Saccharomyces cerevisiae S288C: one gene and its partners. Changing the gene in region 1 together with any one later gene gives a genetic interaction. Each region holds a gene or a part of one and is shown on either strand. Other genes may lie near its edges.

The links.
Region 2: mutations in LIP2 (region 1) and CIT1 together harm fitness less than expected from each alone (positive genetic interaction), as found in Saccharomyces cerevisiae (2 studies listed by BioGRID).
Region 3: mutations in LIP2 (region 1) and UBC8 together harm fitness more than expected from each alone (negative genetic interaction), as found in Saccharomyces cerevisiae (2 studies listed by BioGRID).

Annotation. Positions count from the first base shown.
Region 1 is NC_001144.5:615,671-619,011, forward strand, and holds LIP2 (lipoyl(octanoyl) transferase LIP2), read right to left. Parts: upstream 1,649-3,341; coding exon 662-1,648; downstream 1-661. Other genes in the region: FAR10 (Far10p), read left to right, coding at 1-521; phosphatidylinositol 3-kinase VPS34, read left to right, coding at 1,863-3,341. UniProt on the Saccharomyces cerevisiae protein: Catalyzes the transfer of endogenously produced octanoic acid from octanoyl-acyl-carrier-protein onto the lipoyl domains of lipoate-dependent enzymes. Lipoyl-ACP can also act as a substrate although octanoyl-ACP is likely to be the physiological substrate.
Region 2 is NC_001146.8:629,120-632,835, reverse strand, and holds CIT1 (citrate (Si)-synthase CIT1), read left to right. Parts: upstream 1-1,774; coding exon 1,775-3,214; downstream 3,215-3,716. UniProt on the Saccharomyces cerevisiae protein: Specific citrate synthase with catalytic activity only with acetyl-CoA.
Region 3 is NC_001137.3:129,713-133,061, reverse strand, and holds UBC8 (E2 ubiquitin-conjugating protein UBC8), read right to left. Parts: upstream 1,291-3,349; coding exon 1,286-1,290; intron 1,163-1,285; coding exon 511-1,162; downstream 1-510. Other genes in the region: protein anchor VAC8, read right to left, coding at 2,501-3,349. UniProt on the Saccharomyces cerevisiae protein: Catalyzes the covalent attachment of ubiquitin to other proteins. Required for the adaptation to the presence of glucose in the growth medium; mediates the degradation of enzymes involved in gluconeogenesis when cells are shifted to glucose-containing medium.

The DNA of each region.
Region 1 (3,341 bases):
TGGAGAATTTCTTAATTAATTATACGACACATCTAGAATACACGAACAAACTTTTAGTGGAAAAAAATGATCAGCAACTGGTAAAGCTGCAAAATGGATTAAGAAGGAAACTGTCGGGGAAATACGAAAAGATTATCGAACAAAACAGAAATCAAGTAAAACAGTTGGAAAGGGACCATATGTTTTTCAAAAAGTCATTTGAAGTGAAGAAAAGAAGAAATAATGAAAAGCAAAAAAGCATGGAAAGGGAAATAGAAGACTTGAAAACTAGGTTAGAAGTGGAACGATATAAGAATTCACAAATGATGAAGAAGAACAAACAGAAAGAACAAGAACTCTCAACTGCATCTAAAAAAAAGACTACCGAACATGACACTAGAGGCGTCCCGGGCATGAATCCTAAGGGTACTGACAAATTTAGCATCAAGAACACGCTATGTAATCATTTCACACTATTAACATTTGGAACTATTTCCATCGGGATTATAGCTATTGTCTTCAAGATCCTTTCCCCCAACTAGCATCGTAAATACAAGACACACACGATCCGCTTTTCACGTCAGAGATTATTATATACGTACGTATATATGTAATAGATATTCACATGTAAAAAAAGGTAAGCATCCTTTCATTTAAGAAAGTATGGGGGGAGTCATCCGTCTCACGGATTCTTTTTCAAAATATTGACGTCGTCAATTTGCATTCTTTCCAAAGTTTTTATTCCTAGCAGCTTTGTCATTTCTTTGACAAAACTAATTGCTACACTTTGCACATTTACAACAGCATCGGGTCGTTGTTCCATAATTGAAGTAGTCAGTGTATTTTTCAAACCGCACATTTCAAAACTATTCATATACGATAGATCTGTATTAACATTAATTGCTACCCCGTGCGATGTTATGGAACGTCTGACGTGTATTCCAACACTAGCAACTTTCTTCTTGCCATTTTCAACCCAAACTCCAGTGTCCTTTGTAGTCATAGCATCTAAGTTCAAAGGCTTGTCAGTGTCGTCGCACATCTTGGTATTCTTCAACGTTCTGATAGTGGCCTGCTCAATGCATGAAACCAAGCATTTAGCAGGGAAACTTTGAAATGTTTTCAAATCTAAAATAATGTAAATAACAATTTGGCCTGGACCATGAAATGTTACTTGTCCACCCCTTTCCACTTGAACAAACTTTGGTCGTGGGTTGTCCTTTTGCGTTTCTGGAATGAAACTTTCATAAGCCGCTATCTGATCTGGCGTCATAGTTTTCTTAATCCTCTTCCCACCTGTATAAGTTGGCTCAAACTCAAACGTTAATATTATCGGATTAGGTTTCATTGCCATAACCTTGTCTAATATTCTTTTTTCGTTATCATTTATTGTTGCAGTGCCCTTATATTCTTCATCCAATTGTATTAATTTTCTCTCAATCTTCGATTGAATGTCTTTGATGTCCAAATTTGCCCTAACTAATGTCTCCTGTATTTCCAATCCTTTTTGAAAAGGTATTCTTTGAGTGAATTGTAGATGTCTGAGCGTTTGCGCTGAGGGTTTTATAGGATGTGTCATTTCCTTGAGAGCAGAGGCATAAGTGCTAAAGCATTGTCGCCTACAGACATTGAAGTTTGTGCATACGGACTGGCGAATACACCTCGACATGGGGCTGAAGCTTTCGACAAATCTTAAATTGTGACTTTGTGCATGAAATTTTTATATGAACGTTTTAAATAAGTGGACATAGTCCTTCATTCGGTATATGCAGATCCGGCATCAAACACTTTTTCAAGAAAGTTTGAGTCAAAAGGATTAAAGGATAAAGTAAAACAACAATAACATCTCCGTGAAGCATTGAGGGAAGGGTTTAACTCCAACAATGTCACTGAACAACATAACATTCTGTGTCTCACAGGATCTGGATGTTCCCCTGAAAGTGAAAATCAAGTCATTGGAAGGACATAAGCCACTGTTGAAGCCATCTCAAAAAATCCTGAACCCTGAATTAATGCTGATAGGGTCAAATGTATTCCCTTCTAGTGATCTAATTGTATCCTTACAGGTATTTGATAAAGAGAGAAACAGAAATTTAACTCTTCCGATATACACGCCGTATATTCCTTTCAGAAACTCTAGAACCTGGGATTATTGGTTGACTTTGCCCATACGTATCAAACAGCTTACCTTTAGCAGTCATTTACGCATTATTTTGTGGGAATACAATGGATCCAAGCAAATTCCCTTTTTCAATCTAGAAACGAGCATCTTTAACTTAAAAGACTGTACTTTAAAAAGAGGGTTTGAATCCTTAAAATTTCGTTATGATGTGATTGACCACTGTGAAGTGGTCACTGATAACAAAGATCAAGAAAATTTGAATAAATATTTTCAGGGTGAATTCACGAGACTCCCTTGGCTTGACGAAATCACTATAAGCAAATTAAGGAAACAACGGGAAAATAGGACTTGGCCTCAGGGCACCTTTGTCTTAAACTTAGAATTTCCAATGTTAGAGCTTCCTGTTGTGTTCATCGAAAGGGAAATTATGAATACTCAAATGAATATTCCAACTTTGAAGAACAATCCTGGACTAAGCACAGACTTACGAGAACCGAATAGGAATGATCCTCAAATCAAAATTTCTTTGGGGGACAAATATCACTCCACATTGAAGTTTTACGATCCTGACCAACCAAACAATGATCCAATAGAGGAAAAGTATAGGAGATTGGAAAGAGCATCTAAAAATGCAAACTTGGACAAGCAAGTGAAGCCGGACATTAAAAAGAGGGACTACTTGAATAAAATCATCAACTACCCCCCTGGCACTAAATTAACAGCACATGAAAAGGGTTCAATATGGAAATATAGGTATTATTTGATGAACAATAAAAAAGCTCTTACAAAGTTATTACAGAGTACAAATTTGAGAGAAGAATCGGAAAGAGTAGAGGTTTTAGAACTAATGGACTCATGGGCAGAAATTGATATAGACGACGCATTAGAACTATTAGGCTCAACTTTTAAAAACCTTTCAGTGAGATCGTACGCCGTAAATAGGCTGAAGAAGGCATCAGACAAGGAGCTGGAATTGTACTTATTACAGTTGGTAGAAGCTGTCTGTTTTGAGAACCTGTCCACTTTTTCCGACAAATCTAACAGTGAATTCACTATTGTGGATGCCGTATCTTCGCAAAAGCTTTCGGGTGATTCTATGTTACTATCTACATCGCATGCCAACCAAAAATTATTAAAGTCCATCTCGAGTGAATCGGAAACTTCCGGGACAGAATCGCTACCAATCGTCATTTCTCCCTTGGCTGAGTTTTTGATTAGGAGAGCACTGGTCAACCCAAGG
Region 2 (3,716 bases), on another chromosome or scaffold:
TATAGGAGCACGGTTTACCCCTTTTGCTATTGACACATGTAATATCGCATAAAAAAGAAACCGCACTTCATAGTGCATAAGCAGTACAGAAATGATATCACATGTAAGTGATAGCGATTTGACTGTTTGCTACCGACAAGACTATCTGAAATAAGAAAAAAAACGACCCCAGTGAGGGTTGAACTCACGATCTTGCGATTAACAGTCGCACGCCTTAACCAACTTGGCCATGGAGTCACTTTAAATTCTGCAGAACGTGAAAGGTTCGATTTCCATGATCTACACGATTTTAATCATCTGTAAGCCTTGCCATGAAGCTAAATTGGTGAATTTTTAAGAATTGTTTTGTTGGAACGAGAGTAATTAATAGTGACATGAGTTGCTATGGTAACAATCTAATGCTTACATCGTATATTAATGTACACCTCGTATACGTTTAAGTGTGATTGCGCCTATTGCAGAAGGAATGTTAAACGAGAAGCTCAGACAATACTGAAGCTGTGTTAAAGACCTATTAGTTGAACATGTTATGGTAGGTACATATATGAGGAATATGAGTCGTCACATCAATGTTTAGTAACTACCGGAATCACTATTATATTGGTCATGATTAATATGACCAATCAGCGTGTGTTTTATATACATCTCTTATTTAGTATAAGAAGATCAGTACTTATTTCTTCATTAATACTAATTTTTAACCTCTAATTATCAACAGAGGAATATGAGGATTCCTAGATCCTCGAGGAGAACTTCTAGTATATTCTGTATACCTAATATTATAGCCTTTTTCAACAATGGAATCCCAACAATTATCTCAAAAATCACCTAAGCCTCACATGCATGTTTTACGTTGTGGTTGATGATCTATTGATGTTGAGGTACCATATTTTGAAATTCATTAAAACAACTTCTACCGGGCGTGTGGTCTAGAGGTATGATTCTCGCTTAGGGTGCGGGAGGTCCCGGGTTCGAGTCCCGGCTCGCCCCCATTGATTTATTTTTATCAAATTTTTTAATATTGCATATCTTTAGTGGGCAAAAAATTTTTCCCTGGGCAAAAATATAAGAGAGCTCATCTTATTGTTGTCAGCCCAATGATTCCCTTGTCAAATTGAATTTTCGGATTTACTTGTTCAGGTACCCGCGTTAAGGGGCTGCCGCGCCTGTCACTCTAAGAAAAAAGGAGCCATCAAAAACCATTCAGCATTAACTAAAAACGCGGGTAGAGATTACTACATATTCCAACAAGACCTTCGCAGGAAAGTATACCTAAACTAATTAAAGAAATCTCCGAAGTTCGCATTTCATTGAACGGCTCAATTAATCTTTGTAAATATGAGCGTTTTTACGTTCACATTGCCTTTTTTTTTATGTATTTACCTTGCATTTTTGTGCTAAAAGGCGTCACGTTTTTTTCCGCCGCAGCCGCCCGGAAATGAAAAGTATGACCCCCGCTAGACCAAAAATACTTTTGTGTTATTGGAGGATCGCAATCCCTTTGGAGCTTTTCCGATACTATCGACTTATCCGACCTCTTGTTGTTTGAAAATGTCAATTGATATCCATCCATTATATAAATGCTCAAAACTTGCAGCAACTATTCTTTACCCTTCCCCTGTTATGGATTGCTAGTCTTAAGGGGGAAATTTGCTGTTTACTAAAATACAAACCAGGTTTGTTTTGGCTTTTATTTGCATTTAAGTAATTACAATTACAACCATTAAAAAGAAAATAAGGCAAAACATATAGCAATATAATACTATTTACGAAGATGTCAGCGATATTATCAACAACTAGCAAAAGTTTCTTATCAAGGGGCTCCACAAGACAATGTCAAAATATGCAAAAGGCTCTTTTTGCACTATTGAATGCTCGCCACTATAGTAGCGCCTCCGAACAAACGTTGAAGGAGAGATTTGCTGAAATTATCCCAGCAAAGGCAGAAGAAATTAAAAAATTCAAGAAAGAACACGGTAAAACCGTTATTGGTGAAGTTCTTTTGGAGCAAGCTTATGGTGGTATGAGAGGTATTAAAGGCCTTGTTTGGGAAGGTTCCGTGTTAGACCCCGAAGAAGGTATTAGATTTAGGGGTCGTACTATTCCAGAAATTCAAAGGGAACTACCAAAGGCTGAGGGTAGTACAGAACCTTTGCCAGAAGCTTTATTTTGGTTGCTTTTGACTGGTGAAATACCTACTGACGCTCAAGTTAAAGCCCTTTCTGCTGATTTAGCTGCCAGATCAGAAATTCCAGAGCACGTTATCCAACTTTTAGATAGCCTCCCAAAAGATCTACATCCAATGGCGCAATTTTCTATTGCCGTGACTGCTTTAGAAAGCGAGTCTAAGTTTGCCAAAGCATATGCTCAAGGTGTATCCAAGAAAGAATATTGGAGCTATACATTTGAAGATTCGTTAGATCTGCTGGGTAAATTACCTGTTATTGCTTCCAAAATTTATCGTAATGTGTTCAAGGATGGTAAAATTACTTCAACCGATCCTAATGCTGACTATGGTAAAAATTTGGCCCAACTTTTGGGCTACGAAAACAAGGATTTTATTGACTTAATGAGACTATATTTAACTATTCATTCTGATCATGAAGGTGGTAACGTTTCTGCCCATACTACACATTTAGTGGGTTCTGCCTTATCTTCGCCATACTTATCTTTGGCCGCTGGTTTGAATGGTTTAGCTGGCCCATTACATGGTCGTGCCAATCAAGAAGTTTTAGAATGGCTATTTAAATTGAGAGAAGAAGTGAAAGGTGACTATTCAAAAGAAACAATTGAAAAGTACTTGTGGGATACTTTGAACGCAGGGAGAGTTGTTCCTGGTTATGGCCATGCGGTTTTGAGAAAAACTGATCCTCGTTATACGGCTCAACGTGAATTCGCATTGAAACATTTCCCAGATTACGAGTTATTTAAGTTGGTCTCCACCATTTATGAAGTTGCCCCAGGGGTTTTAACTAAGCATGGTAAAACTAAGAACCCATGGCCAAATGTTGATTCACATTCCGGTGTTTTATTGCAATACTATGGTCTAACTGAGGCTTCGTTCTACACTGTATTGTTTGGTGTTGCCAGAGCTATTGGTGTGTTACCCCAATTAATCATCGATAGGGCTGTTGGTGCTCCAATCGAAAGGCCAAAATCATTCTCCACCGAAAAATACAAGGAGTTGGTAAAGAAAATCGAAAGTAAGAACTAAGGAAAATTTGATTTTTGATTCAGGGTATGCGACTATTCAAACACGTATTTTCATATACGAATGAGTAGTTTATAATTTATATAAATATATATTACATAAGGAAATGGCTATGACTTCATGATTTTTACGCTTTGAGTCCCCTATGCCTACCGGTTATGTTATATACTTGGCAAATGATATCAATGAATAGAAAACAAAATGCTCTTAAATTCCTGCAAAGCGCTTTCAAATCGAATTGTGGTGGGCTGGCGCGCTGATTTAGCAGTAAAATCTAGCCTGTAGTCGATATACTACGTCAAGGTGTAACTAACGTTTATATGTATATGAACCTGCAGAAGAAGCAAAATGACAAGGTTAATGCATCTTTATCTGTCCTAGAGTAGAAGATACACTAAAAAGTTGATAAAGCGAATATAATATGGTCATGTGAAAAAAGCAATCTCATAAAATTTTCTCTTTTTCCTTTTTTTCTTCTGTTCTTACCTCAAGATAAATGTCACTT
Region 3 (3,349 bases), on another chromosome or scaffold:
ATCAGGGAAAAAAAATGTAGGAAAAGCCTGCCACTTTTATACACCATAGATAGACTCATGTCGTTATTGGAAAATGGAAAGCCTTCCTTGCTTCCTTGTTTCCTTGTTTGCTGGTGTCACTTGGCTCGACTACCTTTACCGTTGCAACAGCCCCTTGGACAAAGCTTATTTGGCCCCCACGAGAACGCGGGGAAAGATGATGCCGTAATATAGGCAAAAAGGGGTATTGCGGAAGAGATAGTGAAAGCTCATCAGAATACAAAACATTATTGCTTTCTGACTATCACATTGTTGATGAGTGCCCTGCCCTTCCCCTGGATGACAGACTACAGAATTCACCGTTCAGGAACAAGAGCAAAATTGAGCCCGCAGGCCACTAGCCCACAGAGATCCTTGTAGTTGCTTGATAGTTGTTTGTAATTATAGTCGTACGTGTGGTATAGTATGCCATCATATATACTTATACATACATACATATATATATATATATATATATGTGTGTGCTCGAAATTATTGATTTGCGACTTCGTCGTAGTCATCGTCATCACTGACATCTATGTCACTTAGATCCTCGCTTAACTCATCTACGCTATCATCGCCACTGGAAACACCAGTGCCATCCATATCTTCATCAGAATCACTGTCCTCTTCTTGTAAATCACCGCCGCTATCACTGTCATCGCTATCATTATCTCCGCCAAACATTTGTTGGTACTTTTCCTTTGTAGCATACTTGTCTATATACTCTTTGATTTTTTCCTCATACAGTTTTTTATCTCGTAATTGCAATGTGGCAGCTTCGTTATTCAAGGGATCGCTACCATTAGGCTCCTTTAATAAACCTGGTATCATCCACTCCACTATATTTATCAGATCATATAAAGGCGACCATGTAGAGTTAATTACGTCCAAACATATGGACCCCGATGCGATATCAATGTTAGGATGGAATATCTTGTTAACGAACCCTATGCTTGGCGACTTGTATGGGTAATTATCCGGCAACTCTACATGTAACCTCCAAACCCCATTTTCGTAGGGTGTATCCTTTGGTCCCAAGAACTTTACATGAAACTCTTGCATGCTATCATTGATTAAATCCACTTGATGATCACTCATCAACAGTTTCATAACATCTGTCTCGATCCTTCTTTTAGAGCTACTGTTTCATTAAACGATATCTTTGAAGTTCATTGACATTTTCTTTGTTAGTGATCCTCATTCTATGGCATACTTTCTCAGAAGAGTGATATATAAATATACGTATATATCTTATCAAACATACCTCATCTTTCGTATTACGCTCCTTTCTTCCAATATTCCTTATGAAATACTATTAATATTTTGCTCTTACTTCTAAATTATATTCGAAAACTATCTCGCTTGATAATTACGGATTACACTATTTATCAAATGTGGCAGAACTGGAAATCCTACCTATGCTTTACGTTAGTGATACTTAAGCGCAGATAGCTGTTTCCGGTGCTCACCCTTTTTTTTTTTAATTCCACTGCTCCGGGAGCATTACCCGGTGGACGAAGCTCAACCTACTATTATTAAATAAGAAAACGTAAGAATGTATATTTACGCAGATGTGCACACGAGCATTGAAACAAGGATTAATGTGCCACTGATAGAATTCAGACTGCTGTGTGATTAAGAGGAAAACAAATTATCGTGAAGAATCGTTGATTCGCCTTTATATATTCTTGTATTCTTTAAGAGACATGCATTGCGATAATTTCCCCATGATATTCTTAACCTTATGAAGGGTCAGTCTACTGGAAGGTGCATGAAATATGAGTGAACGTATTTTCATTAGCAGATGAGAGACACCGGGATTAAAAAAACTATGTGAAGAATAGTGTTGATATATGATAAAATTATTGTGGAAATCAATAATTAAGAGGTTTTATAGTGTAGTGGTTATCACTTTCGGTTTTGATCCGAACAACCCCGGTTCGAATCCGGGTAAGACCTATTTTTTTCCCCCGCTCAGCTAACTTGTATTTTTAATAGATCTCCCACCATCAGAGGACGAAGAGAGAACTGTATTATCAATTGTGTTTTATTACAATATATTCTAAAAACGAAGATATAGATGTTATCTAGAATTGGTTTTTGTATGTAGCCCTTCTCTCCCGCTTTCTCACTTTTTGAACATTACCTCACTACAGTTGCCATTCAACAATGTAACGAACATTATCCGTAGGTAAAATTTACGACACTTCAAACTTCTAGAAGGAAATAGGCATATACTACGGAACAAAGACAGCCTCTTATTCGTTTTTAAGTTTTTTCTTCTTTTATTAACAAAAAAAAAAATAAAATAAAAAAAATCAATTGAAATTAGAATAGAGTAGAGTAGGTAGAAGTAATATGATGTAAAAAAAGGAAACAAAGATTAAAAAGATGGAAGAAATGGAGAGAAAGAAAATAAAACTTCTGAGAAGAAAATTTTGATAAAAATTATAATGCCTAGTCCCGCTTTTGAAGAAAATCAATGTAAAAATTGTAAAATCTGTTGAGTAATATTATACAATTCCAAACTTGCATCCTCTACAGGTTGATGTTCAGATCCTGTGTCATTGTTATTACTGTTGTTATCATTCGAGCTTGGATTGTTGTTGCTCCCCGGATTTTTAACATCAATTCCTGATCTTTGTAAACGCTCAAAGGTCACATCTGCCATTTTTCTCACTCCGTTAATGATGTCGTCATCATTTTTAACCAAATCTTCCACTTTATCATTATGACTTTCTAGCAATTGTAAAATTGTCCATAGCGCAATGTGTTCAAAGGTAGCATAGTCACTTTTCAAAAATCTAATCAGAAATCCACGAATGCCTTCATTCGGACGATCCCATGCTTCAATAATTTTTGTATAATTATTCACTCTTGAACATAGATTTGCCAAAGCAGCAGCAGCATTACCAGAAACTTCTTGGTTCTGGGAAAAAGTCATAGGGATTAAAGCATCTAAGATATTTGCTTCCAGTAGATCCAATTTGGAGACATCTGCTAGGGCTAAAATAGCAAAACATGCGGAAATTTCACTTTGAACACTAACAGGTGAATCTAGAGCCAGTTCCTTACATTTTTCGACAGCACCACTTTCGAAGAACTCTTTTCTGTTTTTTTCAGATGATGCAGCCAAATTTCTCAAAGTAGATACGGCGTGACATTGAATTTCTTCTGAATCCTTATAGTCCAACAATCTTACTAATGGTTTTAAGAAACCTGCATCAACAATTAAACCTTCATTTAGAGGGTGAATAGAAATGTTTCTAATGCATGCCACACTAGCCAAAACCAGTGGTATAGAATCACTTTGAATCAACTTTACCAA